2 linked regions of the Notamacropus eugenii genome follow. The protein of the gene in region 1 interacts with the protein of each later gene in a biochemical or structural test. Links are inferred from orthologs where the notes say so. Each region holds a gene or a part of one and is shown on either strand. Other genes may lie near its edges. The genes, in order: SMAD1 and ACVRL1.

Region 1 (15,387 bases):
GCTCTGGCCCTTGCTGTGTGACCTCAAAATTCAGTTCATTCTCTAAGTCTCTTTTCACTCATTTGTAAGATGGGTGGGGGTGGCATGTTGGACAACATGATTTCTAAAAACCCCATGAAGTTCTACCATCTGACGGCTCCAGAAAAACTAGCTAAGAGGCACTTTTTATCCATTAACTCCATCATAGATCTTTGCTCTGACTCCAAACCAACAGGAACTGCAAAGATGGAAGTTGCTCAAATTCTGCAGAGCTGGGCCTTTTCTTAGAACTCTGTTGTATCTCTCCCTTGGAATCAAGTTTGTTTATTTTATGAAGGTTGTTCTGGCCTTTCCTGCCTGAGATACAGCTATCCCTATGCAAATGAAGCTTCTGAAGAACAGGCAGATTTCTTCAAGCTAACCAGCAGAAATAGTGGTCCTTTTTGACTACCCCAGGCCTCCCTAGGGCAGGGGAGTATCTCTCCATCCTCAGACACTAATGCCTCAATGTATCAGAGATTGGTAGCATTACACTGGGTACATCCTCTCTGATGTAAAATGAGGAAGCTGGTTAGATGACCTCTAGAGAGCCCCTTCCAGCTTTCAATCTACAATAGAATGATCCCTATACTTGACCTTGTCTCTTTTCATTTAGGGGGGAGGGTGTTAGGTTATTTTGTATTACACAGCTATTTGGATAGGGGTAATAAAAAACATATCAGATATGCAACCTGGCGAATGGAGAGGACTGGCAACTTAGGTCAAATTGGACATTTGTATTCAGGCCACTTACAGAAAATGGAGAGGAAGAAAGCAATGAGATTTCAATCTGGCACACACACATAGGAGACTATCACCCATTTGCTGCTGCAGAAAGGCCAACCTGACAATCTCTGTATGAAAGAGCAAACCACAAATAAAAGTAGCATTCCGGAGGCTAATTCGTTAACCCTAAATCTTCTATCCCCTTTAGTGATGTACATTTTCACAGCTTTTAAATTAGATTGACCACTTTTCCTTCTCCATCCTCTCTCTTCTCACCTCTACCGCTCCACCCCTCCTTCCCCCAAAAAGGCACAGTCTTCACTTTTCAGCTAAGAATAGAACAGATGTGTTCTGGCTCTTTGAAAGGCAAAAACCCCAAAAGAAAGTGCATATAAAGCCTTGCTCTGTACCTCAGACCTGGCCGCCTAAAGGGCATGGCCCTGCTATGATCTCATTTTAACATGTAAAATCTCGGATCTCCCATCTTCCAGTAATGCTCCACTGATTGAATTAGATGCAGGGTTTTTCTTTTTCACCCGCCCTCTTGGAAAAAAATCAATTTGAATTTGCAAAAAACAAACAGATCTATGGATGCAGAGTTTTCCCTTTTCCACCAGCCCTCTTGGAAAAAAAAAATCAATTTTGATTTGCAAAAAACAAACAGATCTATGGTTGTCAGACCTGACTCTCAGATGAGAACATGTGAGAGAAAAGAACAGTGTTGTGCCAATGACTTCCTGACCCTGTCTTCCCCTGCCCCACCCCCCCCAACTGTGCTGGACTGATGCAGGAAAATCTCAGCAGCTCACAGGATAATGAAAGAGAACTAGACTGAGTTCAGAGCCCTGAGTTCTGAGATCAGTTATGACACTAACTAGCTACATGACCTCACCTCAAATGGACCAGTCATTGCACCTCTACACCCCAAACACTTTCATCCATAAAACGAGATAAGTAGTGGTACTACAGAGCAAAAGAGGTTTCTGAGGACAGAGGTCAAAGCAGGGTTTTGCTACTTACTATCTTACTACCAGCATAACCCACATTTCTCCTCTCGGTGGGACTCAGTTTCCTCATCTGTAAAATGAGGTCACTTCCAGCTCTAAAATTCCATGATCCTATGATGTCTGTAATATAGAAAGATGACCAGAGATAATCAAAGAGGAATTAAAAAGATTTCATTGTCATGGAAACACCTCTTTCTCACAAATTTTAAGGCCTGTCCCCTCAGAGACTCAGATAACTATTTCAACACCAACATATTACTAGTGAGATCTTACTACGCAGCACAATAAATTCCAGGTTATGCAAAATAAAGAGGGAGATACAATGACATTTCAAACGACAAAATAATTTAAAAATCATTTGAGCTTTTGGATGCTCTGAATTTTTTCCCCTTTTGCTTTAAATTTGCCATCCTATTTATGCTTCTCTTAAATTTGAACATTAGCCAACTGAAAAGAAAAGCAAGTAGTGCATCCCCCAGATATATGTGTATATATGTACACACGCACACATACACACACATATATTAGTTCTTAAACTGGTAAATGGATAGGACTGAAAAAACTATTCAGAAAGCTAAGCTGGGACAAACACTTTCACCCAAAATCAAATTCTGACAAACCGGGACCAGGAAAACAGTGATTAAAAAAAAAAATCTCCAAACTCACAAATCCTCCGTTGCCCAAATGATTCCTTCCATCTGCACTCCCAACAAATCAAGCATCTAACAAATAATAAAGTTAATTAGCATTTGCTATCACTTCCTAAACATCTTCTAAAGGAGAGCCTAGCCAGAAAAGAAATAAATGAGAGTCCAAGGAGAAGCCAAGGACCTAGATAATTCATAAACTGGATAACAAGCCTGAATAATTAAGAGCTGGCTTACAATCCAATCAAAGATTGTTTTCTTTTCTCCTGGATTGCCTAAGCAGTCAAGTCAAACATTTCTTTTTCTGCTTAAGACTTTGCCAACCAATTTAAGTCTAGTACAAAGAGAAATAAAGCAGTTTCCTGTCAGGTTATAGCAGATATAGTTTAACCCCCAAAACAAAAGAAACCTAGCAACAAGAGAAGGATGGAGGGCTAGAGAAATGTAAAGAGATGCTCACTTTGCTCTCTAATCTTCTCTGATGTCTTAGGTAGTACATATCCTTTGCGATCTTAGGAATTCTGGGATGTGGTACCCAAATCAGTTTGGGAGGAGATGATTCAAGTATTCCCAGCATCAGTTATCTTGAGTATTAAAGAAAAAGTTGCTCAAAAAGCGATCTCATTTCAACCTTGAAATTCTCTGTAAAACCACAGTTGATAAATTTAAAAATGTACTATCAAGTCTTTTTTTTTTTTTTTTACTCTTTTAGAAACACAAAGAAGCGTTACTGGGAGTCTGGGGCCTTTTTCATAAAAAAGAAAAAAAAAGGGCCTATAACACTCATCTCTGAAGTATAATACCAAATTCCAGCTTAGCTGCTCCTGTAATATGGTTTAATTATGATGACTGAACTAATAGGCTGACATCATAGACTTTTACAGGCTGACCCCATGTCATCCTGATGTATCATTTTGCACCAGTTCAGTGCTGTAAATCAATTTAAGATCTCAAGCAGGTTGAAAAGGCTGGTAATGATGCTTTCTCTGCAGTCTCTAGGGACTCTACATTATACACAACTTACATTATTTATAAAGCTCAATGATGCCTCCATTAGCCTTGTAAGACTACACAAATGAGCCCTTTTATACACACACAATACACAACTTGGGCTGTATTATACAGGCTGCTGCAGTTTAAATATGTCTGGCTAATTACACCCAAGTTTATTCCTTCTTTCCAATCATTTACCTATTAAATTTCATCTTTAACCCAGAAATACACCTATTTTAATATTTAGGGAAATATGATTTCCCAGCCTCCTCTAAAAAAAAAAAAGATGTATTAATTGAACTTGGGTGTGTTGTAAAATTTCCTACAATTACCTTTCTAATGTAACAATGTAACAAGGCAACATTTATTTATTTTTAAATGACTGAAGCTACCACTTCTCTTAAGTGCAGTGGTCATCAGATCTTCAAGGGTATAAAAGAGGATACTGAGAGACAAAAAAATGTATTTGGTTAGATACCTATGGTTAGAGGGGTCAAAACTAAATCAAGGGCAAATCCCCACCCTCAGGGGTAACTCAATCCTTCCTTGATCCTCTCTAGAGGTTTCTGCATCACCTAGCCCCAGAAAATCATCTCTGAGGCTCCTAGTTAATAGTTTCAGAAGAATTGCAATATTACAAGCTGAACATCACCTGCAAAGAAATATCAAATAACTCCAAATGGGAAAGGATGGGAATGCAGTGAGAGAAAGCACTTCGAGTCTGTATAATATACTTAAGCCCAATACCCACAGACAAAAATGGCAGTGATGCAAAGAACACCGGTGCCAACTGAAACGTTGATGCAGTGAACCCTGATCCAACCTAGATTCCTTTTAAAAACACTGGTTCCACTAGAGCTCACCAGCCTTCAATAAAAGGTAAAGTGGTAATTATAAATAAACAAGATGGATATCACAGCACAGTCTTCTCATTGTGTTACCGAAGTGTGGGCATGCCATCCCTGAAAACCAATTAGAAAGAGACATGTTCGGATAGAAAGCTGCTCTTTGATCCTGCTACTTAAGAGTTTCTTTCAGAGACATCTAGGAAGGCAGGCCCAAATCGTGCCACTTTGCATATTTTGTTCTATATTTTTAACTTCAGGTCCAAGACAAAAAAACCAAAACTCCAAATGTTAACATGCCAATTTTCATGGCAGATCAGAAAGCCACTGGCTTCGCTTGGACCTTGGAGCTGGGCCTTGGTTTTCGGGACCAAGCCTCCGAGGAAATTAAGGTTTTCAATCACATCACCTTTCAAAATTTAGTGGGAAAAAATTTCTGCAGTCGTGGTCATCTTAAAGTCGGCCAACGTTTGTTCCTCTTTCCCATAATACACCTAAGGGAAAAACCCTGTTCCTATAAATGCTCCCATATATTAGGCATGTAGAAAAACAAGCCCACGTTTCTCTCTCAGTCTTCCCTCTCCCTCCCCCCCACCCCCCTTACATAAACTACTAAGGGAAACACTAACAAAGGCTTGGGAGACAGTAAATGACACAGTTGCTCACGAGCAAACTTCGCAATACACACGGAGGGAGACGATCGGATCCGGTCCAGGGGGATCCACGGGCGTGGGGGAGGAAGAAAAGGGGGAGGGGGGGCCAGGGGGAAAGGCAAGCAGAATCATCCTCCACCAAACCTTGGAATACATTAGAGACTTTGGGTCCGAACTTTCCTTGACCTCGACCCCAAAGATTGAACGAAAGGAACAGAAAGGAAAACAGGGAAAACGGGCGGGGGTGGGGGCCGGAGAAAGGCTGAGTTTTCTTTCTTCTCAGCGATCCACACTCCGGACAAACTGAGATCGAGAGTATGCGTATAAAAGAGTGTGTGTGTGTGAGTGTGAGTGTGAGCGTGCGTGTGTGTGTGCAGACACACACACGAGACATACCCAGCCAGGCAGTTCCTGAAACTCCCACAAGTTTGGCCGCCCCCTCCCCGCTCTGCGGGCGCAGGACACAAAGGGGCGCCCCGAAGGAAGGGAGAGGGAAAGCGGGAGCAAAGTCAGGGACCCAGGAGCCCGAGGGGAGCCGGCCTGGGCAGGCCGGGACGGCCAGGGCAGAGGCAGCGAAGGCGGCCCCCCTCCCCGGCCCAACAAAGACGCCAACGCAAAGTTGGAAGCTCAAAGCGCACCCCTGCAGCCGGCCAGGGGAGAGGGGAGAGGCGGGGGCCGGGGGGGCCTAGGTTTCTAAGAGCTTCGGGCGACGCCATCATGGGGGGGGCCTTCCATCCTCTTCTCCCCGAGAAGAAAAAGCCCCATTCCCCCAAGCCCACGTACCCCAAGGGGCCATCCCGGCGCTGCGGCGGGAGTCTGAAATCAGAAAGGGGGTTAGAGAGAGAGGGCCGCCGGGGGTCAGTGGGGAGGGGGCGGCCGGGACTGCAGCCATCCAGGATTCAGCCACCCCCACCCCTTCCCGGACGGCGGCACCCCCCCCACACCACCCTGAGTCCGGCTCCGGGGCTGGGAAGGAAGGGAGCGAGACGGAGCGTCCGGAAGAGAAAGTTGGGGTCTCGGGGATCGGGGGGTTCCTCGGTTTTTACCCCGTGGGCGGCGCGCCCCGCAAAGGCGAGCGCAGAGTCACCGCCGGCCGCGCCGCCGTGGTCTTGCTGCCGTGGCTCCCGCAGCTCTGGCCGCCGGTGCCTCCCCTCGCTCCTGCTCCGGCCGCGGCTCCCGCGGCTCCGGCCGCCGCACAGTGGGCAGCCTGCGCCGCCCGCTAGCTCGCTCCCGGCTCTTCCTCCCTCTCTCTCTCCGTCTCTGACTCTCTCTCTCTACCTCTCACTCTCCCTCCCTCTCCCTCTCCCTCTCTCCCTCTTCCTCTCGCTTCTCTCTCTCTCTCTCTCTCTCTCTCTCTCTCTCTCTCTCTCTCTCTCTCTCTCTCTCTCTCTCTCTCTCTCTCTCTCTCTCTCTCCCCCTCGTCCTATCTCTGTCTCCTTCTCTCTCCTCTCCCTCTCCCTCTCTCTCTCTCCCTCTCCCTCTCTCTCCCTCTCCCTCTTCCTCTCCCTCTCTCCCTCTTCCTCTTCCTCTCTCTCCCTCTCTCTCTCTCCCTCTCTCTCTCTTTCTCTCTTTCTCTCCCTCCCTCCCTCTCCCGGAGCCTGGATTGATCTGGTCTCGCTGGCGTCAGGGAGTCGGAGCCGCCCAGCCTCCACTACTCCACTGCCAATACACAACACACACACACACACACACACACACACACACACACACTCGCGCGCACACACTCACACACACACACACACACACTCACACACAAACGCTCCACCACCGCCACCCCAGACTAGGGATCCTCTCCAAATTACCGCGCTGAGCACGCTCGGAAGCAACAGCTGCTGCTGCGGCGGAGGCGGAGGCCTCTGCCTTAGGGGCCCCCGACCAACACGGCGGGGGAACGGACTCTGGGGACAGCTCCCCCCGGCCCCTCCAAAAGAGGGGGTGTGCAGTTAGAACGCCGCGTCGGGTCGTTCTGCAAGTCTGCTTGCTTCTCCTAGTCGGAGCGACTTGGCGTGGATGGTCTTTGCCAGTAAAGTTCAGGGCCGAGAGTTTTATTTTCTAAACTGGCGTTCCCCTCCCCCCGCCCGTCCTGGGTCCTCCTTCTGCGAGGGGGTTCTTCTTTTCTGTTTGGTTTTAAACTCAACAACCAAGACGCTCTTTCTCCGCTCCCCATCTTCCCCCCACCATTTCCAGGCCCCATAAACTCCCAAGGGCACATAAAACATACAGAATTAGTCGCTCACCGCCTTTCCAGACGAGGGCTGCCTAGCTTAGTCTGCCCTCGAAGTCACTAGGTTAGTTCTGTGCCAGATCTAGAACCCCTTTATTTCAACACTTAATCTTTCAGACCCCAAGTAAGGATGCATGGCAGCAAAGGAGACATTCCTTTAGAAAGCGCAAAAGCTACAGACTGGAGGGCATTTTTTCTAACCCACTGGCAAGCCCTTCGGAGATGACCGAACAGCTTGAGGCTTTACCTAGGCTTCCTAGACCCCAAAAAATGGCATTTTTACTCATCAGAAGCACTTCTCTTGGTCACGAGTTTGGAAGCTGGCATGAAATCTTGGGGAACTAAAGCGATCACCTGAAGGAGACCCAATCTATTCCAAGATTAATTGCCCTCTAAGTACCAGGCTCAGCCGTCAGAGCTGGAGTAGTAAAGACGAAACAAAAACCAATTCCTACCCTCAAGGGTCTTGAATTCCACCCCCTGGATACAAAGCATAAATAGATAAATTTGGCCAAGATTACGGGGAGAAAGAGAGCTCTATCCCTAGTTGAGTTTAGCTTTTAACAAAAAAAGTGTATTCACAACAAAATAAATGCTAAAAACAACCGGCCACTGCAATTAAGGACAACACTCCGTTCCTACTTAGGAATTCCTTTTCTTCATTTTTTTTCCATTTATTTCCCATTACTCACCTAAAATGAAGCTTTCTTATGGCTTCCCTACTCATCTCCACCCTTTAAAATCTTTGGTTTCTTTCAAAACAGTTAATGAGGAACCGTCTTCTAAAGTAGAGCTATTCACCTTTAGAAATTATCTTGTGTTAACTTTGTATTTACCTATATACATTCTTGGAGTGTAAACTGGAAACTCGGGATTTACACCTTATATTTTTGTACCTTCAGTGCCTGTGTCCTTCACATAGTAGGCACTTTATAAAAAGTGTGTTGCAGTTCCTAAGATTTAGAGTTGAAAGGGACCCTCCGAATTCGTCATTTATTTCTGTCAAAAATGCACTCTAAATTTGAACTAAATGAACTCTAAATTTGGGCTCCAATCCTATCTATGCACAAGGCCAGGCATTTGATCTTAACCCTTTCTTTTCCTGGGCCTTAGTTTACTCATCTGTAAAATGAAAGAGTGGTGGTAGATCACTTCAACAGTATTTTTCTGCTTCCCTCTGTGACCTCTCAAAATATTCCATTACATTTTGTTACTTTTTAAAAATAGCTCTGTTCCTTTATATTAAGCCCGAAATCTTCCTACATAATTTCCATTTATTGGTCTAAGTTTTCTGCATGCAAGCCAAGCAGAAGTCTTCCATATGACATTCCTATGTCTTTTCCAAAATTATTTTATTCTTCACCTCCCAGATATAAGCAATATCTTCTAGACTGTCTGATTTTGGGCACATCACTTCCTCACTCTGGGCCTCAGTTTCCTAGTTGATAAAATGGGAGTGGACTAGTGGTGGTAAAATAGAATCCCTTTTAGTCTTATGATCTGGAGCCCAGCCTCCCTTCTTTTTATAGATAAGAAGCCAGATCTGCAGAGGGGAAATCCCTTGCCCAAGGTCTCACTGTTGTATACAGCTATTGATAAATATCTGCCTTTACATAAAGACAAAGAATGATTGAATGAAAAAAAATTAGAAAAATTAGTGGATTACATGCATTACAAAAAGATCCACCAGTGTTTCCTTAAATAGCAACTCCATTGCTACATTTAAGTGTGTGTTTATATCAGCGTCCCAGGTGCATTTAAGTGTTAGTTTGAACTTAAATGGCCTCCTAGGATAGCTACTATTAAGAGGAATCCTGCAGTGATAACCACTGGAGGGGGAGGGGGGGGAGATTTGAAAACACTTTTACTGGGAAAGCCTAGAGGTGGCTATAGTACAGTTCTATACATACAGATGACTAATGATATGAAGTTGATATGCACGTATAATGACACTTACTAAAGGATTCACATATTGAACTTACTTCAGGGATTCTGCTCAAAAAGTTCACCCAATGTACTCCCCATTTTCCCCACCTTGATCCATAAGAGTGATGCAGTTTAAGAACCCAGTTTAGCTGGAGGACCCTGCTCCTGTGAAAAGCCTCCTTTCATGGTTCTAAGTGATCCCTCTCAAGTTGTCTATTCTGGAAATTCAGATTTATGGGGTGCTTTTTCCTGAAGCAACAGCTTTGCAATAATTGCCTTCCAGGATCTTTCTGCCTGTCAGAATTTCACATTTAATTCTGAATTCTAAAAATTTAAATCCCTTCATTGATGTTTTTCTCAGTTCCTCAACAAATAAAGCTAAGTAAAAATTCACACCAATCATTTCATATTTTCCGAACAGCATGCATTTTGTAATTTCCACTTAATGGTGTTATTGGTAAGATCCAAATTTGCTTTTATCTGGATTAGAGTTTGAGTTGCTCCTTTCCTGTTCTGTTTCTGTCTGTCCTTCCATGTATCTCCCTGCTTTCCTTTCTTCTTTCTTTCCTCCTCTTCCTAGTCTTCCTCCTTCCCCTTTGTCTTCCTTCTCTTCTCTCTCTTTCTTTCTTCTTTTCCTCCTTCTCCTCTTCCTTCTGTTGTTTCTCCTTTCTTTCCCCCCTCCTCTTCCTCTTCCTCCTTTATCTTTCTTTCTCTCTAGTCATTATTTTTTTCTGCTGAACTGTCCATTGACGCTTCCCTTTGGGTGAGCCAGTATTTACCAAGCACCTACTATAGGCTAAGCTTTGTGTTAGACTCCCGGGGTTACTAAGATAAAAACAGCAAACAGTGGTTGCCTTCAAGATGACATTTGGCGAAATACTAGATAGAAACAAATAAGTATAAGCCAGATAATTTGAAGAGAGGTCACCAACGAGGGGGAACAGGAAGAGCTTTTCACAGAAGCTGGAATATAGCATGATAACAATGTTAGTATTTATGGAGTATTTGAAATGTTGCCAACCTTCCCCAATCTGTGCCTCACAGCAACCCAATAGGCACTGTTATTATACCCATTTCATAGATGAGGAAACAGAAACAGACAGGGTCACACAGCAAGTGGATGACTGAAGCCAGATTTCAAATCTAGTTTTTTCTCACTCCATCCCTCTCTCCAATGTGCTACCTAGCTACCTTGGAAGAATAAGAACTAAGCTTTGCAGGAAACTCAGGATTCTAAGAGAGAATTCTTTACAGGCATGAGGAACAGACCTCCTTTGCAAAAGGCACATGGGGAGGAGATAGAATACTGAGTTTCCTCTTCTACTTACCACCCTCTTATCTTTTCTGTCACACAGAACTTCAGTATTCTCATCTTTAAAACTCAGTTAAGTGTGGATCTTAGGGTTCACATCGATCTATTTAGATGTGATGTCCTGTGTCATTGCATTCCTTTGGGGCACCCAACATGTGACATCAATTCTTCTTCAAATTGTCTGACATGGGCCAGACGATGTCATAAAATCAAAGAGCCTTAGAGATGGCCATAGCCTGAGAGATTATTAAGTGAAGCCAAGTCATCAAGTCCAGGGTCTACTTCACTTGTGCTGATCATTAAAAGTTGGAACTTTTAATTCAAATAATCATCCTGCTAACAGAATGCTAACACTAAGTATTCATTTCTTAATTAGCAGCAAAATTATTGACCTCTCATTTGTAATATTTCGCTAGACTCCCGTAAGGTAACAGTTGCATGGGTCTTTTCCCCAAAGGGAAGATGTCATTTTCCTACCCAAGGTCTTTTGAGCAGTGTCTCTTCTTTCCCTTTCCTTCAAAATTTCATGTCTAAACTCTTAGCCTCCTAGCTGTCTCAGTCCCTCCCTGAATCCAATCCATCCTTCACAGGTGTATAACCAGAATCATCTTCTAAAAGTACTACTTTGATCATATCACTTGCTCCTAAAAAGAAATCTTCCAAGGCACTCTGTAATCTTTCAAATAATGTTCAAATGCCCACAGCAGGTGTCAAGCTCGGATGCCATCTCCAGAGTACTGTCTGAACCAGATTAACATGTAATTGAGAAATGTTTAAGAAATAAATAAGAATACTATAAAGCATAAATAATGTTAATTTGTGGTTTTTTAAGTCAATATGCTATCCACAGGCATCCATTTCCATTTGTTTGACACCACCTACAGCATGAACTTCATCCAGTATCCCCTTTAAGAACCCTCGGTTTTAGCCTATTGGGAACACTCACCATTTCCTGAGCACTGCCTTTCCCATCAATGCTGTAGTCATCTTTTTCTTCTGCTTGGAATGCTCTACTGCTGCCTCACCCCTCAACCATGAATCCATCTCTACTTTTAAAATCTTCAAGGTCCAAGTCATGTAATAATACCATGATACCTTCTTTCCTGTTGACATCAGCAAGGAAGATCATGGGGACAGGATAGAGAAACAAAATGCAGATGGACAAGGTAAGAAAAGTCGAAGTCTTTCTTAAAATGTAGTGCAATTACATGATTTGGAAAGGTAGAATGTAGATGCTATGTGCTTAGAAGATGGATAATAGTATTTTAGGTTTAGAGAGGGAAGTTAGAGATCAGTCACCTAGTCTAACCTCTCCATTATACAGATGAGGAAACTGAGACCTCAGTTAAGTATTACTTAAAAAGCACATGTATTAATACCAAGCAGTGCAGATATATGATTGGATTTACACTACAACTCAGAACTTCCTAGCTCAAGACATCCATCACTCAGCCTCTCTACTAGTAGGGATTACAGGTGTGAGCCATCACACATAGCCTTCTTTGCTCCTTTTCAGGAATTGATAAATGGAGCAAATGAGTATCACGGGATCATGGTAACTAGATTCAATACAAATTTCAGATCCATACTTTCAACAATGCTCTCACTAGGGCAGAACAATTCTTTCATTAATGTTGCTGTTGGTCAATTATTCCAGTTGTACCCAATTCTTCCTGACCCCATTTGGGGTTTCCTTGGCAAAAATACTGGAGTGGTTTGCCATTTCCTTCTCCAGCTCATTTTACAGGTGAGAAACTGAGGCAGACAGGGTTAAATGACTTGCCTAGCGTCACTCTATCCACTGCACCCCCTAGCTGCTGGAGTAATCCTTTCACATCTCCCTAATTGATTAACTGTCTCACTTCAAATCTTTTAGTTTCTCGTCAAGCTTTCCACTATACTTTCATCCTCCCATATTCATAGGTGAGAACTGAATTCCTACTGCACAGAAAAAAATTGAAACTATTCTAGAGCTATAACTTCTCTCTTCTTCCTCTTTTCATATCACTTAGATATCCTCTCCCATTACATTCTCTTTCTGAAAAGACATGATCCTTCTCCTTGCCAAGGTAAATCCCTTTACCTGTACCCTTGATCACTTCCCTCCTCCCCCTCTTCCAAATCAGACTGTCTCAATGATCATCCCCATTCTCTCTTATCATCAATATCTTATCTATTGACTTCCTCCCTGGTGCCCTAGTACCATCCTTGAACAGCCTTGTTTAATCCTGCTACCCTTGCTAATTTTTGACCTATATATCTTTCCTTTCTTGGATAAACTCCTTGGGAAAGCCATCAACACTAATTCTCGACACTCCTTTCCTCTCATTCACTTCCAAACTATCTGAAATCTGACTTCTGATATTATCACTCAATGGAAACTGTGCTCTCCAAAGTTAACACTGATGTCTTAATTACCAAGTCTAAAGACCTCCACTTCTACTGACAAAACACGAGGCTAACTTGTCTAAATCTTTATCTATATGTTTATATCTATATCCCACTCACATCTATATCTGTACCCACTCACACAGTTACCACCCTAGTGCAAGCCCTCATCCCTTCTTCACAGCACTACTACAACACCCTTCTGGCTGGTTTTCCTGCCTGAAGTCTTTCTACTCACCAGTCAAAATGAATTTCTTAACACAGAAGTCTGACCATAACACCCCAATTCTCAATACAGTCCAGTGGCTTGCTATTTGTTAAGGTGTTTTTCAGCTGTGTCCAAATGTCTGTGACCCCATTTGGAGGTTTCCTTGGCAAAGGTACTGGAGTGGTTTGCCACTTCTTTCTCCAGCTCATTTTACAGAGGAGGAAACTGAAGCAAATAGGGTGAAGTGACTTACCTAGGGTTGACTTACCTAGGGTCACGCAGCTAGTAAGTGTCTGAGGCCACATTTGAACCCAGGTAGAGGAGACTTCCTGACTCCAGGCGCAATACTCTATCCACTGCCCTACCTAGCTACCCATGGCTTGCTATTAGCTCTAGGATAAAATATAAAGTCCTCTGGTCCAGTTTCTTAGATTCTTTAGCAGGAAATACCTGGTGTGTAGTAATCACAGTAGCAGCCAGTAAGGTGGTGTAATGGACCACCCATGGACCTGGAGTTAGGGTGACCTGAGTTCAAACTAGCCTCAGGCAGTTTCAAGCTGTGTGATCCTGGGCAAGTTACATAACTGATGTCTGCCTCAGTTTCTGCATCTGTAAAATGGGATAATAATAGCACTTACCTCTCAATGTCATTGTGCTAAATGAGTTAATATTTGTAAAACTCTTTGCAAACCTCAAAACACTACATAAATGCTAACTTATTATTAGCTAAAGACAACTGGGGAGTTTTTGAATTTGAAATATAAGTGCCCAGGTTCATGCCACTGCATCTTAGCAAGGTTGGTCACCAAAGAGCATTTCTTCCTGTCCTTTCTAAGATGTAACCCACCCTAACTAAGCTCACTGTCTCATTTTCCCCTCTTCAGCTGCCAGAGCAGGGGCCTGACTTGTCTAAAGCGATACCTGATGGAGACCAGCCACTTCTAAGAACTGCCATAAAGCCACCACCAGTGATGACCATAGGCTGAAGCAGGAGAGTGTGTCCTGGCTGAGAATCAGCACTGGGCAAAGGAGTCAGCCAGATCAATGCCAGCAAATATGAGCAGTACACAGGCAAAATGAGTGCAGGTGGCCTCAGCTAGGACACAAGCTAAAACAAAAAGCAAAACAACAAAAAAGGATGATTGAAGGATAATTTCACTAAGTTTGGGAGTGATCTGGATTGCATGATAAAGATCTTACCACAGGAAGGTCAAGAGATTTTAAAGGACTTCTCCGCTTTAAAGAATCTTCTAGTGTTGAGACATTTTTAGATCATAAAGACCAAAATTTGAGTGGATAGATAGTTGACCCTCAGAATGCTGTGGCCATGAATAAAAGATCCCATGAAGATCTTTGTTGGCAGACATCATCTAGAACTTACAGAAGAACAAATCTGGTAATACTTTGGAGACTTTGGAGACACTGAATTCATCAAATTTCCAATGAATTTGGATAAAAGAAGATTTGTATTTATCTTCATTTTTAAAAAATTTTTTATAGATGTTTGCCTCACCATAATTTCTCCCAGTATCCTTCCCACACACCTCTATAGCTATCTCATATACCGTATTTTTTTAAACCGTATTTTTTTAAAAATGAAAAAAGAGAAAGAAGAAAAAAATTCAGAATAACCTCCATCTATTGAGAAGACCTGAAAATGTATGCCATGTCTAAGACCTATGACTGTCCCACCTCTACAAAAGGGTAGGAGCTAGTTTCTCATATCTCTTCCTTTGAGCCATACTTGTTCTTTATAATTTTGCAGTATTCACTTCTGATTTTTTACTTGTATTTCTCCTTTTTTGTTTATATTGTTGTGGTAGTACCCGTATATTCTTTTCTTAGTTCTGCTTACTTTCCTCTGCATCAGTTTATATATATGTTTTCTGTATTCATCACAAGCTTTTCTGTATTCACCATGTTCATCATTTCCCATGGCACAGTAATAGTTCATTACATTCATATACAGCAATTTGTTTAGCCATTCCCTCCTTAGGGGAAATTATCCTTCTATTGTGATGTCTCAGTTTTTATAGCTGATGGCTTATTTACCATCTGTGTATCCAGCTAGATGGCATAGTGGATAGAGCTACAGACCTGGAGTCAGGAAGACATGAGTTCAAATCAGGCTTTAGATAGTTACTAACTGTGTGACCTTGGGAAAGTCACTTAACCCTGTTTGTCCCAGTTCTTTATCTGCAAAATGAACACAAGAAGGAAATATCACACCACTCCACTGTCTTTGCCAAGAAAACCCCAAATGGGGTTATGAAGAGTTGGATGAATCTGTAAAACAACTGCAACAAAGAAGTCTCAGGGAAATACAGTTGTTTCCCAGATGTCTTTAGCAACTTTCACATTGTTTCCATTTCAGGGACCGAGTATAATATAGTGAAAAGAGATCCAGGCAGGCATATGCTGGAGCCATCTCCCTAGAGTC
Region 2 (15,403 bases), on another chromosome or scaffold:
TTATTGTATAATCAATGTAATCAATGCTCAACCAAGTGGTTCAGTGGATAGAGTCCTAGAGTCAGGAAGACTCAACATCCTCAGTTCAAATCTAGCTTCAGACACTTATTATCTGTGTCATCTTGGCCAAGTCACTTAACCCTGTTTACCTCGGTTTCTTCATCTGTAAAATGGACTGGAGAAGGAAATGGCAAACTACTCCAGTATCTCTGTCAAGAAAACCTTAAATGGGGTCTCAAAGAGTCTGACATAACTGAAAACAGCAGTGGAGACTAGGATCCTTACCCTGGCTAGGTCATTCAATAGCTCCAGCACAAGTAGCCTTGTTTCCCTTTAAATCTCAGCTAAAATCCCACCTTCTATAGGAAGTCTTCCCCAACTCATCTTAATTCCAGCATGTTCCCTTCAGTTAATTATTTCCTTTTTATCCTATACATAGCTCCACACTCAAAGTAAGATTGTGATAAGACCCTAACCTGAAAGGACCAGGGCCTCCCATTGTATCCTGGGTCATCTCCAGTCATCCTGATGACTATCTGGCCACTGGACCCAAATGACTCAGGAGAAGGAAGTGAGGCTGGTGACCTTGCCCAGCCCTCCCTCACTCAAATCAAAGTTAACTGCAAGTCATGTCATCATCTTGATGTCATGGTCCTCTTCGAGAACAAAAGACAAATACAACAAGCTCCACAACAATACCTCCCTGGATATATGCTTGTTTGCTGGTTATCTCTCCCATGGAATTATAAATTCCTTGAGGGCAGGGGCTTTCCTCTCTTTTTATCTCCAGCATATATCACAGGGTCTGCCATATAGTAGACTCTTAATAAATGTTTAATAATTAATTGTTGACAGACTGATCACTTGGCCTCACTGCCTTCATCTATTAAAATGGAGACAATACTCCAACTGCCTCACAGAGTTATTAAGTCATGGGATGTAGATCTGGAAAGGACTTTACCAATCACCTATTCCAATCCCAACAATTTACAGATGAGGAAATTGAGGCCCAGATGTAAAAGGGATACACCACTCAGAAGCAGAGCCAGGATTTGACCCAAGGTTTTCTGACTCCAAAACCAGTAGTAGCTAGAGGAATGAATGAATCTTATTGAAAATTATACAAAGTAACCTGTGATGAATTATAATTTTGGACTGAGACTGCAGCAGGAGGGATGGAGATTCAATAGGGAGGAGATTTTCTTTGAGGAAGGTCCACATGTGTCCTGGGAAGTGACCCAGGGGTCCCAAGCACCAGGAGAGGATTTCCTGTCTGTAGAAAAAGAAGAGTCCTTCTGTATGGAGAATGAAGTGAGGCAGGCTAACCCTGAATGCAGCAGGCACTCCCCACACTGGGGGCAGTTCCAGTACTCCTGGTTGCGCTGGGGGACCTCTGTTTCCTCCTGGCCTCACCCTGCCCTGTACCTCAGGCCAACAGCTGAAGGAAGAAATGGGCCCTAGAGCTGCACCTTCATTTTCAGTTATGTCTCTTAGACCTCCCTTTTCTTATCACTTCACTTTCAGAGGATAGACTCAAGGAATAACTTTCAGGTGAGGTGGAGGATGAGACATCTTTTTGGCCCTCAATCAAAGGACTCTCATCTAGTAGAGAAGGATCATCATTTACCTGGGCTGGTGCTATTAATTCATGATTGGGGTCTTTCTATAGGGACAGCTGGGGAGGTAGAGGGGAGTTTGGGTGAAGATAGAGCCATAGATTGTTAGAGCCAGAAGGAACCTTACATGTCACCTAGCTGAACTTCCTTATTTTCCAGTGGGATAGTTATATATAATTAGAGAAGGGAAATCACTTGCTTACAATCCCAGCTAGTAAATGCAGAGCTGGGACTCAGCAGGTGGGCAAGTCAAAAGTTTCAAGGAAAGATTAGGTAACGGAGGGAGGAGCGTTAAATGGAAGTGGGATGTAGCCCGATAGTAGTATTAGGATGTGTGTAGATATGTAAAGATGGTTAGGGCTGTGGGTGTATCTCTGTGTGTTTCACATGTGTGCATGTATGTGGGTCATATGTGTGCTTGTATGTGGCATGTGTGCATGCACACACATGTGTAGAAGCTGCTAAAACTGCCCAGCAAACATTCCTGAGAGTGGATGTTGGTAGATATTCTCAGACTTGGGGTCAGAAGCCCTAGGTTAAGAGGATGACTTAAACACATTGGCCACATGGGTCTGGGTACGTCATTTTCCTTTTCTGAGGTCCAGTTTCCTCAGCTGCAAAATGATAATAGCCATATTTGCACTAATCATGTCCTGGTGTTGTAGCGCGAAAAGTTTTTTAAATCTAAAAGCACTATTCTCCCATACCCTGTATTTCTCCCCCACTCCCACCCCCCCCCCCCCCCAGCCTTGTTGTTAAATCTTTACTAGCATATCTCTGTATTACTTTATAAACAAGCTTGATTTCAGCAGGAGTGTAGTAGAAGGCTCAGAAAATAAAGTCATCTCCAGACTTGAGGGTGATGATAATAATAATAAATAATAATGATGCCTTGCATTTACATAGCACTTTAAGATGTGCAAAGTGCTTTACATCTGCTATCTCATTGGAGCCTCACAACAGCTGGGGGGGCAGATATTGTGATTCTGGGGATAGGAGACTTAAGCAAGGGGATTTGAAGTGGATCTCAGAAAAAGGCTATCAAGCTCAGGTTGGTCTGATGCCAAAAGCTAAACAGGAAAAGCCTCTATTTCAGAGACTAATAATTGAAACAGACGAGACAAGGCCAGGCCTGAATGTCTAATCCTTTTATAACAGTCACATTCCAAACCCCTCTTCTTCTCACCCCGGGACTTCAGCCTTAGGCCTTGAGAACTGAGATTTAAAAAAAAAATGCATCATACCTCTAACAATCAAAAGCCCACCCACCTACAGTTCTATTCTGCCTGAAGGGGTGAACGGGGACTGGATCTAGGTCTTCTATGATGACTGCCTCCCCCCAATCTCTTTATGCTTTTAGCCTCTATCAGAAGCACCAGGAAATAGTGGTAAAACTACTGGACTTCCAATGAGAAGGCTGGAGTTTGAGACTTGATTCAGATACTTAGACAGTAGATAATTAGCCCAATCTTTCTGAGTCTCAGATTTCTTCTCTGTAAAATGGAGAGAAGCCACTTCCAAGGTTTATTGGTTGGAAGGATCAGATCGGACAAGGCCTGTAGCTTCCCTCAATATCAGTTTTATGATTAGAGGTTAGAGTCTTGGGGGTTGAAGAGCTTGCCTGTTCTCTTGCCTGTTCCCTTCTCCTTTGGTCAGATTGGGAACTTTCAGTGGGCACGGATCCTAAAATGAGGGAGTAAGACCAGATGATCTCTCTAAAGTCCTTTCCAATGGTAAACCTATTATCAAATCAAATGTATTAAGTGCCTCCTAAGTGCAAGACACCATGAGTACAAAATATACACAAATAAGTCAGTACAACAGAATTTGAGGATGGGGAGTGCACTAACCAGGGTGCTCAGGAAAGGTTTTGTGTAAGGAATGGGACCTGAGCTGAGGTAGTTGAGAGAGCTGGTGGTTAGATTTTCAATGTGAGTGTTGGCAAATGCTTAATTTGTAAATCAAGGTTTGATTTATTGGTTTTGTTGGTTTTCAGGCTTAAGAAAATGATGGAGAAAATTTAATAATGTAGATTAAACTTAAAAGTATATCTGGATACATTTGTTTTCCCCCAACACACCCACACCCACACCCACACACCCACACCCACACACACAATGTTGTTAAACATTCCCAGTACACCTAGGCTCTATAGAATCTTTGTGGGATCCTAACTTGCTGACTGAAATTCCAGAAGTATTTCCACTACCCCTCAGTGCTTCTCAGAGTGGCTAAAAGCACATTGGGGAAACTGGAGGAGTATTCATGGAAGATCCACTCTCAATTCACCCCTTCAGGCAGACTAAACCTTTACAGTTAGAAGGGACCTTTGAGGTCATCAAGTCCCACACAGGTGAAGTGATTTGCCCCAGGTACTGAGGCAGGATTGGAGTCCAGCCCTCTATCCACTATACCAGGCTAGTTTAGGGAAGCTAAGGATTCTCAGAGGCAGAGAAGAGGAAGGAACACATTCCAGACATGGGGGAAGGTCTGTGGGAAGGCACAAAGACAGCAGATGGAATTTTGGGAACACTAGCAGGCCAGTTTGGCTTGACTGTACAATGAGTGAAAGGGGGTAATATGAGATCTCTACAAAGGCATGTTGGAGCCAGAGTGGGGAGGGCTGAAATGCTAGTTGGAGGAGTTAGTTTTTATCCCAGAGGAAATAGGGACCCACTAGAGTATTTTTGAGCAAACATAAGGCCTGTACTTTAGGAAGATTGTTTTTGCAAACTCTATGAAACGTGTATTGGAGAAAGGAAGAAACTGGAAGCAGAGAGCCTCATTAAAAAGCTGCTGCAATCATACTAGGATGATGGCGGTCCTCAACTAGGGTAGGGGCCATGGGAATGGAGAGAAAGGTTCAGATGCAGGAGATGTTATGGAGGCAAAATGCAGAAGACTTGGATATGACCAACTATGATTCCATATTTCTTCCTCCCTTTAGATCATCCCTCACCTGAGAGTGCCAGAGTCAAAGAAGGGAAAACCTTACAACACGATATGGCACTGGGTAGGGCTAATTACTAAACAGAAGAAAGAAGAAACAGATTTCATCATCTAAGTAGACGTACAACATGGTCCTTTCTGGGTAGAGTCCTAAACTGCCCTTAGAGAAAGATCAATTTGCCCAAACAAGCATATATTATCATCTCTTCAGGAAAAGGGAGGAAGTATAATGGTCTAGACAGTATGCACAGTAGATGTTGGTCTACAGAGCCAAGGTGGTCAGGGAGAGTAGGGTAAGGGGAGTGTCCCAAGATGGCAGGGAATGGGTTTACAGGAGAGTCAGAAGAAAAAAACAGAAATGCTGGCCCCCTAAAGGACTGTCTCTTAAGGAGGGCCATAGGAGCATAGAATTTAGAGCCAAGATCATCTTTTCCCATTTCCCATTTTAAAGATAAGGAAATTGAAGGTGAGAAAGGGTAATAGCTAGTAAATGTCTAAGTCAGGACTTGACTTAGATATCATACTCCCTTTGGCAATAAAAGGGTTGTGGCTATGGGGTTAGAGTTATGGGGTCAGATTGGGGGTCCAACCCATCAAGAGCCCTGAAATCTAGGGGAAGACCTAACTGAGACAAAGGTCAAGAAGAGGCCAGAACTTCCAGTCCTGGAAAGGGTCATCACTTGTGGTAGAGACCAACTTGATTCTGCCCACATACATGGGATTTAATATTTCAGAAAAACCTCCTTTGGAGCCAATGGAACAGAAAGGAACTCCTGATAAGATTCTGCAGCCTTACTTGAGGTCCCCAGGATACTTCCAGTTTATTCCTTTACATTAAAACTTTCAGTGGCTCCCATCACCTACCAAATAAAATAAAACCTCCTGGCCCTGTTATTTAAGGTCCTTTGCAAAGTGATGCAAACTCACTATTAAATCATGCATAATTCTTCCTGTTGGTGGCATATCGACTTAGAAAACCACAAATTAACATTATCTATGTTCTATTGTATTTTAATTTATTTTTGTTAAACATTCCCCAATTACATTTTAATCTGGTTCCTATATAATAGGCACCTCTGCCTACAACATCTGTACCACATGTCTTTATCTCATACTATTTTCCTTCATGAGATTACTCTCCATTCCCATTCTCTACCTGCTGGCTCTCATCTGTGTCCCTTCACTCTTAATCATACCCCATGCCTGAAAAGGATACCTCTACTCCTATCTCCAGCCTTTTAATCCCCTCTTCTTTCAAAGCCACATCCTCCAAGAAATCTCCCCTGAGACTGTCCCCACCCCCTCCCCCAACCTCCTTTGATTCTTTTCCTCCTTAAGTGTCCCATGACACCTTACCAGGATTCTCCTTTGCACTTATCTCACACCCCCTTATATCATAGCTGCTTATATAATTGTCCTTCCACTCTTCCCCATTTAGATCACAAAGTCCTTAAAAGCAGGATTAATATCATACCTTTGTACCCTCAGCAGCTTGCACAGAGTAGGTCTTTAAAGATAATTAAGTTCAACTAAATCAATGCAGAAAAGACTATATACACTTTAGAACTGGGACATGTTACCAAAAAGTGCTAAAAAAAAAAAAAGTGAGGGAAATGGTGTGATGAAGAGATCAGATATTTAGAGGACAGATGGGTCACACCAAGTCTGTAGAAAGGAGAGTTGGAGAAAGACTCAAGAAACTAACATGGTCATCCAGAGAGCTCAGTCCCAGGACCACGCTTTAGAAGATAAGAGGCATCTATTCACTGGAAAAGCCCATCTACCCTTGCAAATCAGTAAATCAACATATTGGTGCTGGTAAACAGGGGAGGGGGAATCTAGAAGGTGTAGTTTGGCAATCTGATTTGGGAGTGAGATAGTGCAACTGAGAAGGATGATCTTGGGAAGTTCAGAGCCTATGGGTTACCTAAACAACATTATTTAACTAGTGATCCCTATGTGTTGGGGACCAGAGTTATAGACTAGGGATTAGAGGTTTAGGCCTATGGAGTGGAAGTCATAGGAATTCCAATTATAAGGCCGAGGTTTTCTGGGAATAGGGATATCCCATCCTGGAATCACAATATGGGCTTCACGCCTGGAAATCAGCGAATTTTTCCCCCTCCCTACTCCCCAAGGGCTGACCCCAACTCACCTCCCTGCTCTGCCCTAGGCTGTAGCCAGAGGGCTAGCAGCCCTGGGACTTGGGGGGTGGCGGACAAGGGGGAGGTGTGGACTCAGGCCAGCTCCTCTCCTCCCACGCCCCTGACACCCCTGACTCCTCCTCCTCCTCCTCCTCCTCTGGATCTGAGTTGCGGATGCTCTGCCGCCGGGCCCTCGCTGGGGTCCTGGGGCCCTTGGGGGCCCGGGGATAGGGTGGGGATGCTCTCGATCCCCTCTCCAGCCCCGCTGAGCCCTGGGGGCCGCTTGCTCGGCCCGCCGGCACTCGGGAAAGACCAGGCAGGAGTTGTAAAGTGTCTTCTTCCAGCTTCTTCCTGCCTGGCCCTACTCCGCCACTCCCTCCCCTGTAATATACCGTTTCCTATTGCCAAACGCGTTTACAGGGACTGCTCTCTCCCTGTTTATGGGGCCGCCTCCCCTCTCTTCCTCGCCAGCTGACCATTCCCTCCGGTCTCCCCCGCACCCCCTCCACAAACCTCCCACATCCGCTGCTCCCTCCAGCCCAGCCCAGCCCCGGCTCCAGCTCCCTGGCCTTGCTCGGGAATGGGGATGAAGTGGGGGGGTAGGGCCCCCGCTTTGGGGGCTGGAGTCACCAAATGCAAATCATCATCAGCTCCAAAAGCCCAGCTGCTCCATGTGAGGTAGTGGGGTCCAGAGCCTCTGCTGCTCAAGGCAAGCATCCCAGTGTAAGGAACGAATAGCCCGGCTCTGGGACCTCCGACAAGTTAGCTCGCTTGTCTGTGCTTCATATCCTAACCTATAAAATGAGGAGTACTTACTCTCCAATGCTCTTTTTAACTCTTAAAAAAAATGGATTATAATCTATTCTCTCCTTAAGGCTGTCCCCAGTGAGAGGGTTAGGAGCCAGGCTGAGCAGTGGGGGAGTGAGAGATTCTGGAAAAAGTAGCTCAGGCCTGAAATTGTAAGTCATATCTCAAGGGTGTTGGAAGGGTTTGTTCAAGTCTGTGCCAAGACATACCTGTTGGGACGAGTCCGTTCCAAATTTGGGGTAGTCACCGGGAAGGAACCAGAGTGAGCCTCTTGGGACTAACCTTTCCTATTCCCTGCTCTCCACCATTGTTGGGAAAGGGGTTCATCAAAGGAGCATAAGGAAACACAAAGGGGAAAAAATAAATGGAGTTCCCCAAATGAGGTGGGATTGGGCCATCTCTTTGTAATGGTAGAGAAGGGTCTGGGAATCAAAGGGTACCACAAGCTGGCTAAGCAACAGTTGCAAGGATTGAGTTGCTTCTGCTTTATCTCAGCTCCTTTGGTGACTGACTTCCTTTCCTCTGTTGACATGTTATTATCAGTTGTGAAGACTATGAATTTCCAGAACCTGTTTGAGATATAGCAAGGGTTAAGAAAAAAGAAATCAAAGTGGAAAAATTAAGGCAAGAAGCAACAGGGAGAGAGAAACAAGGACGGAATGCTAAGCATCTAAAGGTAGTGGAGCTGGTGGGCAAAGGGGAAAGAAAAGTCTTTCAGAAGGGCTCTTCCTGGAGGGCTTTTTTGGAGAAGAGTAGATCAGAGGTCTGAAGGGGAAGGACAGGGCTGGGATAAGAGTGGGGAGGTGAGAGATATTCAGAGTCTCTGCTCTTCTCTCCATTTTAATCAGCCATCGCTGACCTAGTTTACAGTCTTCTGTTCAGTGACACATGGATTGGGAAAGAGCTAAAAGTCAGACCTCTGAAGAAAGGGGAAAGGAATTAGAATCTGTGTCCAAGTCTACAACGATTTACTGCTCAGAGGGACCAGCTGTTCCCCATATCCAGGGAGGAAGCAGGCCAAAGGCAGATACTGAGATTAGACATGCAGAAGAACTTCCCAGTTGAGTCAGGCAGGAGACAGGGGAGCAGGGGCCCAAGGGAGCTTGGGAAGTGAGATTTTAAAACCTAGGAAATACATGTCTGAGGCTAGAGAGGTGGGAGAGGGTAGAGAGGGAGTTGTCATTTTGAGTCCAGACTTGGAGCATGATAGAGGCAGAGTAGAGTGGGGGGGTGATGAATTAGAAAGCATTTGTAGCCAGAATTAGATGGGAAATTTCCTTGTGTCCTCTTTGCATTAGGAAGGGAAGGGGAACAAAGATGGGGCTAAATCGCCAAGGGGTGGAGGAGGTCTCATGGATCCCTCACTCCTCTGAATACTAACAACAGCTAGTGTTTTAATCAGAGTAGCTTGGCCCTTAATTATAGGATGTCTTCTGTAATTGTCCCAACTAGATTGTGAGCTCCCGGAAAACAAGTCTCTCAAGCTCTCTTGGCTGCCTTTTCCCCATATATAAAAAGAAGTGTTGGAACTAGACTACCTCTGAGGCCTTGTCCAGCTTGAAATGTGTGAACCAATGATCCACAGTCACTCAGGGCGCTGACTCAGAGAAGATTTCACAGCTTATCAGAGCTAGACAGGGTCATCCAAATTGGTTAGTAACTAGCTTCTTGGCCAACCCCTCCTTGTACAGGTGAGGCCCACAGAAATGTAGCTTATCCAAAGTTCTATAGAGAGTAAAGAGGGAATGGAGCCAGGATTTGAACTCAGTTCTTTTGACTCTAATTCCATTCCTCTAGGCTCTGACTCTCCAGACTTCTTTCTCTACCAGGCTCCAGAAAACCTCAACCCAGGAAGATTCCTGGGGCCCCTTCCCCTGATCTAGCAGTTCCTCCCAGAAGCTCCATTTTAAGGAAGGGCCCAAGGCCAACCATGCTCACATTCCCCTTCCTCTTCAAGTTCCACTCCCAATACTCCAAACTTCTTTCTCATATCTCCTTACACTCCCTTTTCCTAGCTTTCTGTTATGTTTTTCACCATTAGAATGTAAACTCCTTGACAGCAGAAGCTCTCTTCCTTCCTTCCTTCCTTCCTTCCTTCCTTCCTTCCTTCTTTTCATTCCTCCTTCCTTCTTTCCTTCCTTCCTTCTTTCCATTCTCCAAGGGCTAATTTACAGCTTTGGTGCCAGATACCAAGGACAAGAGAGGTCCCTAATGGGCTATGTACCATTATTTTAGCTGACTGTTCCTCCTCTACTCTCTGCTATCCACCTTGTAATTGCCCCAACCTCCCAATAAGTGCTGTAACCTAGAGAAGGAGAATCTCCATCCTAGACCAGGTGAGATTTCTGTATCTGGTCCTAGACCTCACAATGTCAGAGGGATATGGAGGCTTTGGGGGTCATGAGGAGTAATCAGAGGAGGGACACAGAGACTGAGAATAAGACCTGTGACCAAAGAGGAAAGAGCTAAAGATTGGGGGCAGGTAGTTGGAAACTGGGACTGAGAGAAAGGCTGAAATATGAGGAAGGATGATTCTTTATCACAGAGAACAAAAACTTAGATGTGGGAGATTTAGGTCCTGGACTCCAAGGCAGAAGGATGGATGAAGTGACCCGTTAGATGTCATCTATCTCAGACAAGCTGGCACCCCCTGGTTTCCCCAGCCCCTCTCTCTGCAGCTGACAGGATGTATAAGGTACTGGAATGGGGGGAGTGGGGGAAGGGCAGAGAGTGGAGAAGTTAATGGTCTTAGAAGTTCAGGAAGGGACTGGTAGACCTGCAACAGGGGATGCCAGACAAAGGGCCAGTGAGTCATCTTCCTCTTCTGTTCCCAGCTACTGTTTACATCTTGGGATCTCCAAGCATTGTTCTTCTTTGGAGCTGGTGAACAAGGATAGGGCCTGACTGTCTTGCCTATTCTTTCCTATAATCTTTAATAAAGGATCATTATTCAAATTTGTATAGTTAAAGCATAATTTATCCATGATGATCCTGTGAGCTATGTAGATGCATAGCATTATTATACCCATTTTACAGATAGGTGAAGTGATTTGCCATGATTATACCTTGTATTTACACCTACATTTTCTGACTTCTTTCCACTGGATCCATGGTCCTTCCTTTCCTCACTTAGATCTGGTCTTGACTCCCTAGACATGCCCACTTAATGGGATACCCTTTCACATAGGGTGCCCAGACCCACTCTGCAGGAGTCAGTTTTCCTAAACCAAAGTGACCAGCCGCTTCTACCCTCTTCTCGTATAGGAGAAGCCAGTCAGTTGTCCTGCCTCATATCGAGCCTTAGAGAGCTCATAAAGTCAAAATCAGACACACATACAACACGAAATGGAAATAGTAAAATAAACAGATCTAGGAGCACAAGATATTTAGAGAACTCTTAACACAGAGCTGGGATAAACCTTGGACTAGTTCAATCCTCCTCCTTCCCCTCCTCCATTTTAGAGATGAAGTAACTCCGGCCCAAAGGGAATAGTTGGTTTACCCCAAGTAGAAGACTATTTAGCACATCTGGGATTTGAACCCTGGTCTGTGAAATACAGCCCAGATTCTCTTCCCACTACATCGTTCTCACTTTAAGTGCCAAGTTGTCATTCACCAGAAGTTATCTCAGGGCCTTCCATTATTCGTCCCAAATTTATCCCTATTCTCTCTCCTTTCCCCTCCCTTTTTTAACCCTTTAACTCTGTTGCAATGAGAAGAACTGTGAATTTGAAGTCAGGAGACCTAAGTATTGGTGGAAGGAAGGAAGCAAGAATTTATAAAGTTCCTACTATGTGCCAAGCACTAGGTGCTGGTATTATCCCCATTTTACAGTTGAGGAAACTGAAGCAGAGGTTAAGTGACTTACCCAGGGTCATATAGCTAGTAAATATCTGAGGTTGGATTTGAACTCAGGTCTACCTGACTTTAGGGGTAGTTAGGTGGTGCAATGGATAGAGAGCCCAGCCTGAAGTCAGGAAAATAAGTCTTCCTGAATTCAAATCTGGCCTTAAACACTTACTAGCTGTGCGACCCTGGGCAAGTCATTTAATTCTGTTTGCCTCAGTTCCCTCATCTGTAAAATAAGCTGGAGAAGGAAATGGCAAACCACTCCAGTATCTTTGCAAGAAAATTCCAAATGGGGTCATGAAGAGTCAGACACAACTGAACAACAACAACTTCCTGACTCTAGGCTCAGGGTTACCATACACTGTGGTACCTCTTAGCTTTCCCTGATTCTAGGCAAGACAAAGGGAACATTTATTGAACATTTACTATGTGTTGGGTGCTTAGAAGACAAAGACCAAAGTGAAATAATCCCCATCCTCAAGGAGATCAGTGTAATAGCTACTAATCTAGTCTGCATAGAAAACAGAGTATGAGAAGGGGAATGTAGTGAAATAATATTGGAAAGGTAGGTTAAAGCCATATTGTTAGGGGCCCCAAATTCTAGTACGATGGGAGTCTGGAATATAGACAGAATCACTTTAATGGAACCATCCCACATGGAGATGTGGAGATCTTGCTTTCTGCCTCTGAGAGAATCATGATAATGTGAATGGAGGTATCATAGAGAGACTATGAATCATATGTGGAAATACTTTAACTGGTTCCAGCTGGATAAACATGTGGTTCAGAGAAAGTTGATTAACTACTCAAGTCTGTATCCCAAAGAGATCATAAAAAAGGGAAATGGACCCACATGTACAAAAATATTTATAGCAACTCTTTTTGTGGTGACGAAGAATTGGAAATTGTGGGGATGCCCATCAATTGTGGAAGGAACAACAAATGAACAAGTTGTGGTATATATATGCAATGGAATACAGTTGTCCTATGAGAAATGATGAATAGACAGATTTCAGAAAAACCTGCAAAGGCTTATATGAGCTGATGCTGAGTGAAGTGAGCAGAACCAGGAGAACATTGTGCATAGTAACAGAAACATTATGCAGTGATCAACTGTGATACACTTAGCTCTTCTCAGCAATATGATGATACAAGATAATTCCAAAAGACTTGTGATGGAAAATACTATCCAAATCCAGAGAAAGAACTATGGAGTCTGAACACAGATTGAAACATACTATTTTAATTTTTTGTTTGTTTTTTCTTTCTTGTGGTTTTTTTCTTTTGTTCTGAATCTTCTTTCACAACATGACTTATGTGGAAATATATTTAATATGGTTGTACATGTATAATCTATATCAGATTACTGATATATCAGCTTACTGTTTTGGGAAAGGAAGGGAGGAAGGGAGAAAAATTTGGGAACTCAAAATCTTACAAAAATGAATGTTGAAAACTATCTTTAAATGTAATTGAGAAAAAATAAAGTACTGTTAAGTAAAAAAAGAAAGAAAGAAAAAGAGGAGGCTGGTTAGCTTGGAGTCTAAAGCAAAATAAATCTTTTGAATTAAATATCCCTTGGTAAGACACTATCCATTTAATCACTCCACAATGGATAGAGTGCCAATCACTGGTCCTAAACAATGAGAGAACACAGCCAGTGGGGGCTCAAGCTGATAGTACTGGAAAAGAGACAACCCCCTTGAAACCTTTCAGGGGATCTAGGGAAATGACATGTCCAAAGTCACAACTAGAAAGTTAGTTGTTAACAACTAGTTAGTTATAGGAGATAGGATTTGAATTCAGGTTTTCTGACTCCAAAACTAGTCTTCTTTCCATTATGTCATGTTGCCTCTAACTGTCTTATAGGCAATAAAGAGACTATAAATATTCTTGAGTGAAAGAGCAAGATGTTCGACCCATCAATAAGGAAGATTGTGTTGGCAGCTGGGTGAAAAATTAATAAGATTTGGGGTGACTGGAGACAAAAAGAACAGTTAGGAGACTATTAGAGGACTCTAGGGGGGAGAGGTGATGAGGGTGGTCATGTGAGTAGAGGAAAGAGTGTAAGGAAAATGGACAGAACTTGGAAACTTATTGGTGTCCTCTAGGAGTTGATATCTTCCATCATAACTCCTCTCTCCAATCTTTGCTCTGTCTGTCTGTCTGTCTCTCTCTCTCTGTCTCTGTCTCTGTCTCTCCTGCCTACAAACATGCCTAGATCTTCCACGTCCTTCAAAGAAATATCACTCACTCCTACTATCCTCTCAAACTGTCATCCTAAGAAATGATGAGCCCAATGATCTTAGAAAAACATGGAAAGATTTGCACAAAATAATGAAGAGTGAAATGAGAAGAACCAAGAAAACACTGTATACAGTAACAGCAGTATTGTTTTTAATAATTTGAGAGAATAAGTCATTTTGACTGTTATTAATACCCAAATTAACTATAAAAAATGTGAATAAAAATGTTATATTCTGACTTTCAGAGCCAAAATCCTAGAAAAAGTCATCTATGCCCTTGCTTCTCCTTCCTCCCCTCCCATTCACTCCTCAGTTCCTTAAAATCTAATTTCTGATCCTTTCACTTGACTTAAACAGCTTTCTCCAAGCTTACCAATGACAACATAATTGTATAATTCAATAGCCTTTTCTCAGTCCGCATCCTCGATGATTTTTTGCAATACTTTGCCAACCCATCCTTCCTTGTGCATTCTTGCTGAGTCTTCATGTTATTTCTCTATTTGGGTTCTTCTCTTACCCATCTGAACACTCCTCAGTTTCCTTTGATGGCTTATTATTCATATCCTACCTATTATGGGAGGATCTATGCTAAGTCTGTATCCTGGACCCTGTTCTTTCTTAGTAATCTCATGGGTTCCCATGGACTCAATTCATCTCTATGCAAATAGTTCACAGATCTACATATCCAGCCCATATCTCTTTCTTGGTCTTACCAACTATCTGCTAGACATCATGGGATGTCTCATTTGTATCTCAAACTCAGTTCATCCAAAATTAAATTCACTCTCTTTTAAAATCACTCTGTTTCCTAATCTATTTCTGCCAAGGGCACACCATCCTTCAAATAACTCAGGACTCACGAGGCAGCTAGGTGGTACAGTGGTTAGAGTGCTTGGCCTGGAGTCAGAAAGACATGAGTTCAAATCTGGCCTCGGATACTTACTAGTTATGTGATCCTGGTCAAGTCACTTAACCTTGTCTGTCTGTTTCTTTATCCTTAAAATGAGCTGGAGAAGGAAATAGGAAACCATTTCAGTATCTTTGCCAAGAAAACCCCAAATAGGGTCACAATGATTTGGACGTAGCAGAAAGTGTGTGAACATCATCAAACCACGAAGTCTTATGGGATACCCTCTCTTGCTACCATAGCTGGTCATTTAACAAGTCTTGTCTATTCTATCGCCCCAACACATTTTGCATTTACCTTCTTGTCTCCCTTTGTATAGCTATCACTGTTGGTTCTTTTTTTTAAATTTAGATTTATTTTTTCATTGTTATTTTATTTGCTTTCAGCATTCTACAATCACTTCCATATATCTTAGATTTTTTCCCCTCCCTCCCCCCTTCTCCCCTACCTCCCCACTTCTTCCCTGAGACAGTATACAGTTTTATACAGATTCTACACATACATTCCTATTAAATACATTTTCACCTTAGTCATGCTACATAGAAGAATTAAAATGAATGGGAGAAATCATAAAACAAACCAAAACATAATACAAAAGAAAATGATCTGCTTCATTCTGCAATCAAATTCCATAGTTCTTTCTCTGGATGTGGAAGGCATTTTGCCTTAAGAGACCATTGGGAATTATTCAAGTCCTTGCTTTGCAATGAATTTCTAAGTCTACCAGAAAAATTCCTTGCACACTGTGGTTGTTGCTGTGTACAAAGTTCTCCTGGTTCTGCTCCTTTCACTCAGCATCAGTTCATATAAGTCTTCCCAGGCCTCTCTGAAGTCTTCCTGTTCATCATTCCTTATAGCACAAAAGTATTCCATTACATTCATATA

Evidence for each region.
Region 2: of the proteins of SMAD1 (region 1) and ACVRL1, one has a biochemical effect on the other in vitro, tested with the Homo sapiens proteins (2 studies listed by BioGRID). The link is inferred for Notamacropus eugenii from reciprocal best matches to the Homo sapiens genes SMAD1 and ACVRL1.

The regions. Positions count from the first base shown.
Region 1 is NC_092877.1:142,387,784-142,403,170, reverse strand, and holds the start of SMAD1 (mothers against decapentaplegic homolog 1), read right to left. Parts: upstream 7,009-15,387; 5' UTR 6,692-7,008; intron 6,657-6,691; exon of another isoform or gene 5,936-6,656; intron 1-5,935. UniProt on the Homo sapiens protein: Transcriptional modulator that plays a role in various cellular processes, including embryonic development, cell differentiation, and tissue homeostasis.
Region 2 is NC_092874.1:224,306,976-224,322,378, reverse strand, and holds the start of ACVRL1 (activin receptor type-1-like), read right to left. Parts: upstream 7,519-15,403; 5' UTR 6,721-7,518; intron 1-6,720. UniProt on the Homo sapiens protein: Type I receptor for TGF-beta family ligands BMP9/GDF2 and BMP10 and important regulator of normal blood vessel development. On ligand binding, forms a receptor complex consisting of two type II and two type I transmembrane serine/threonine kinases.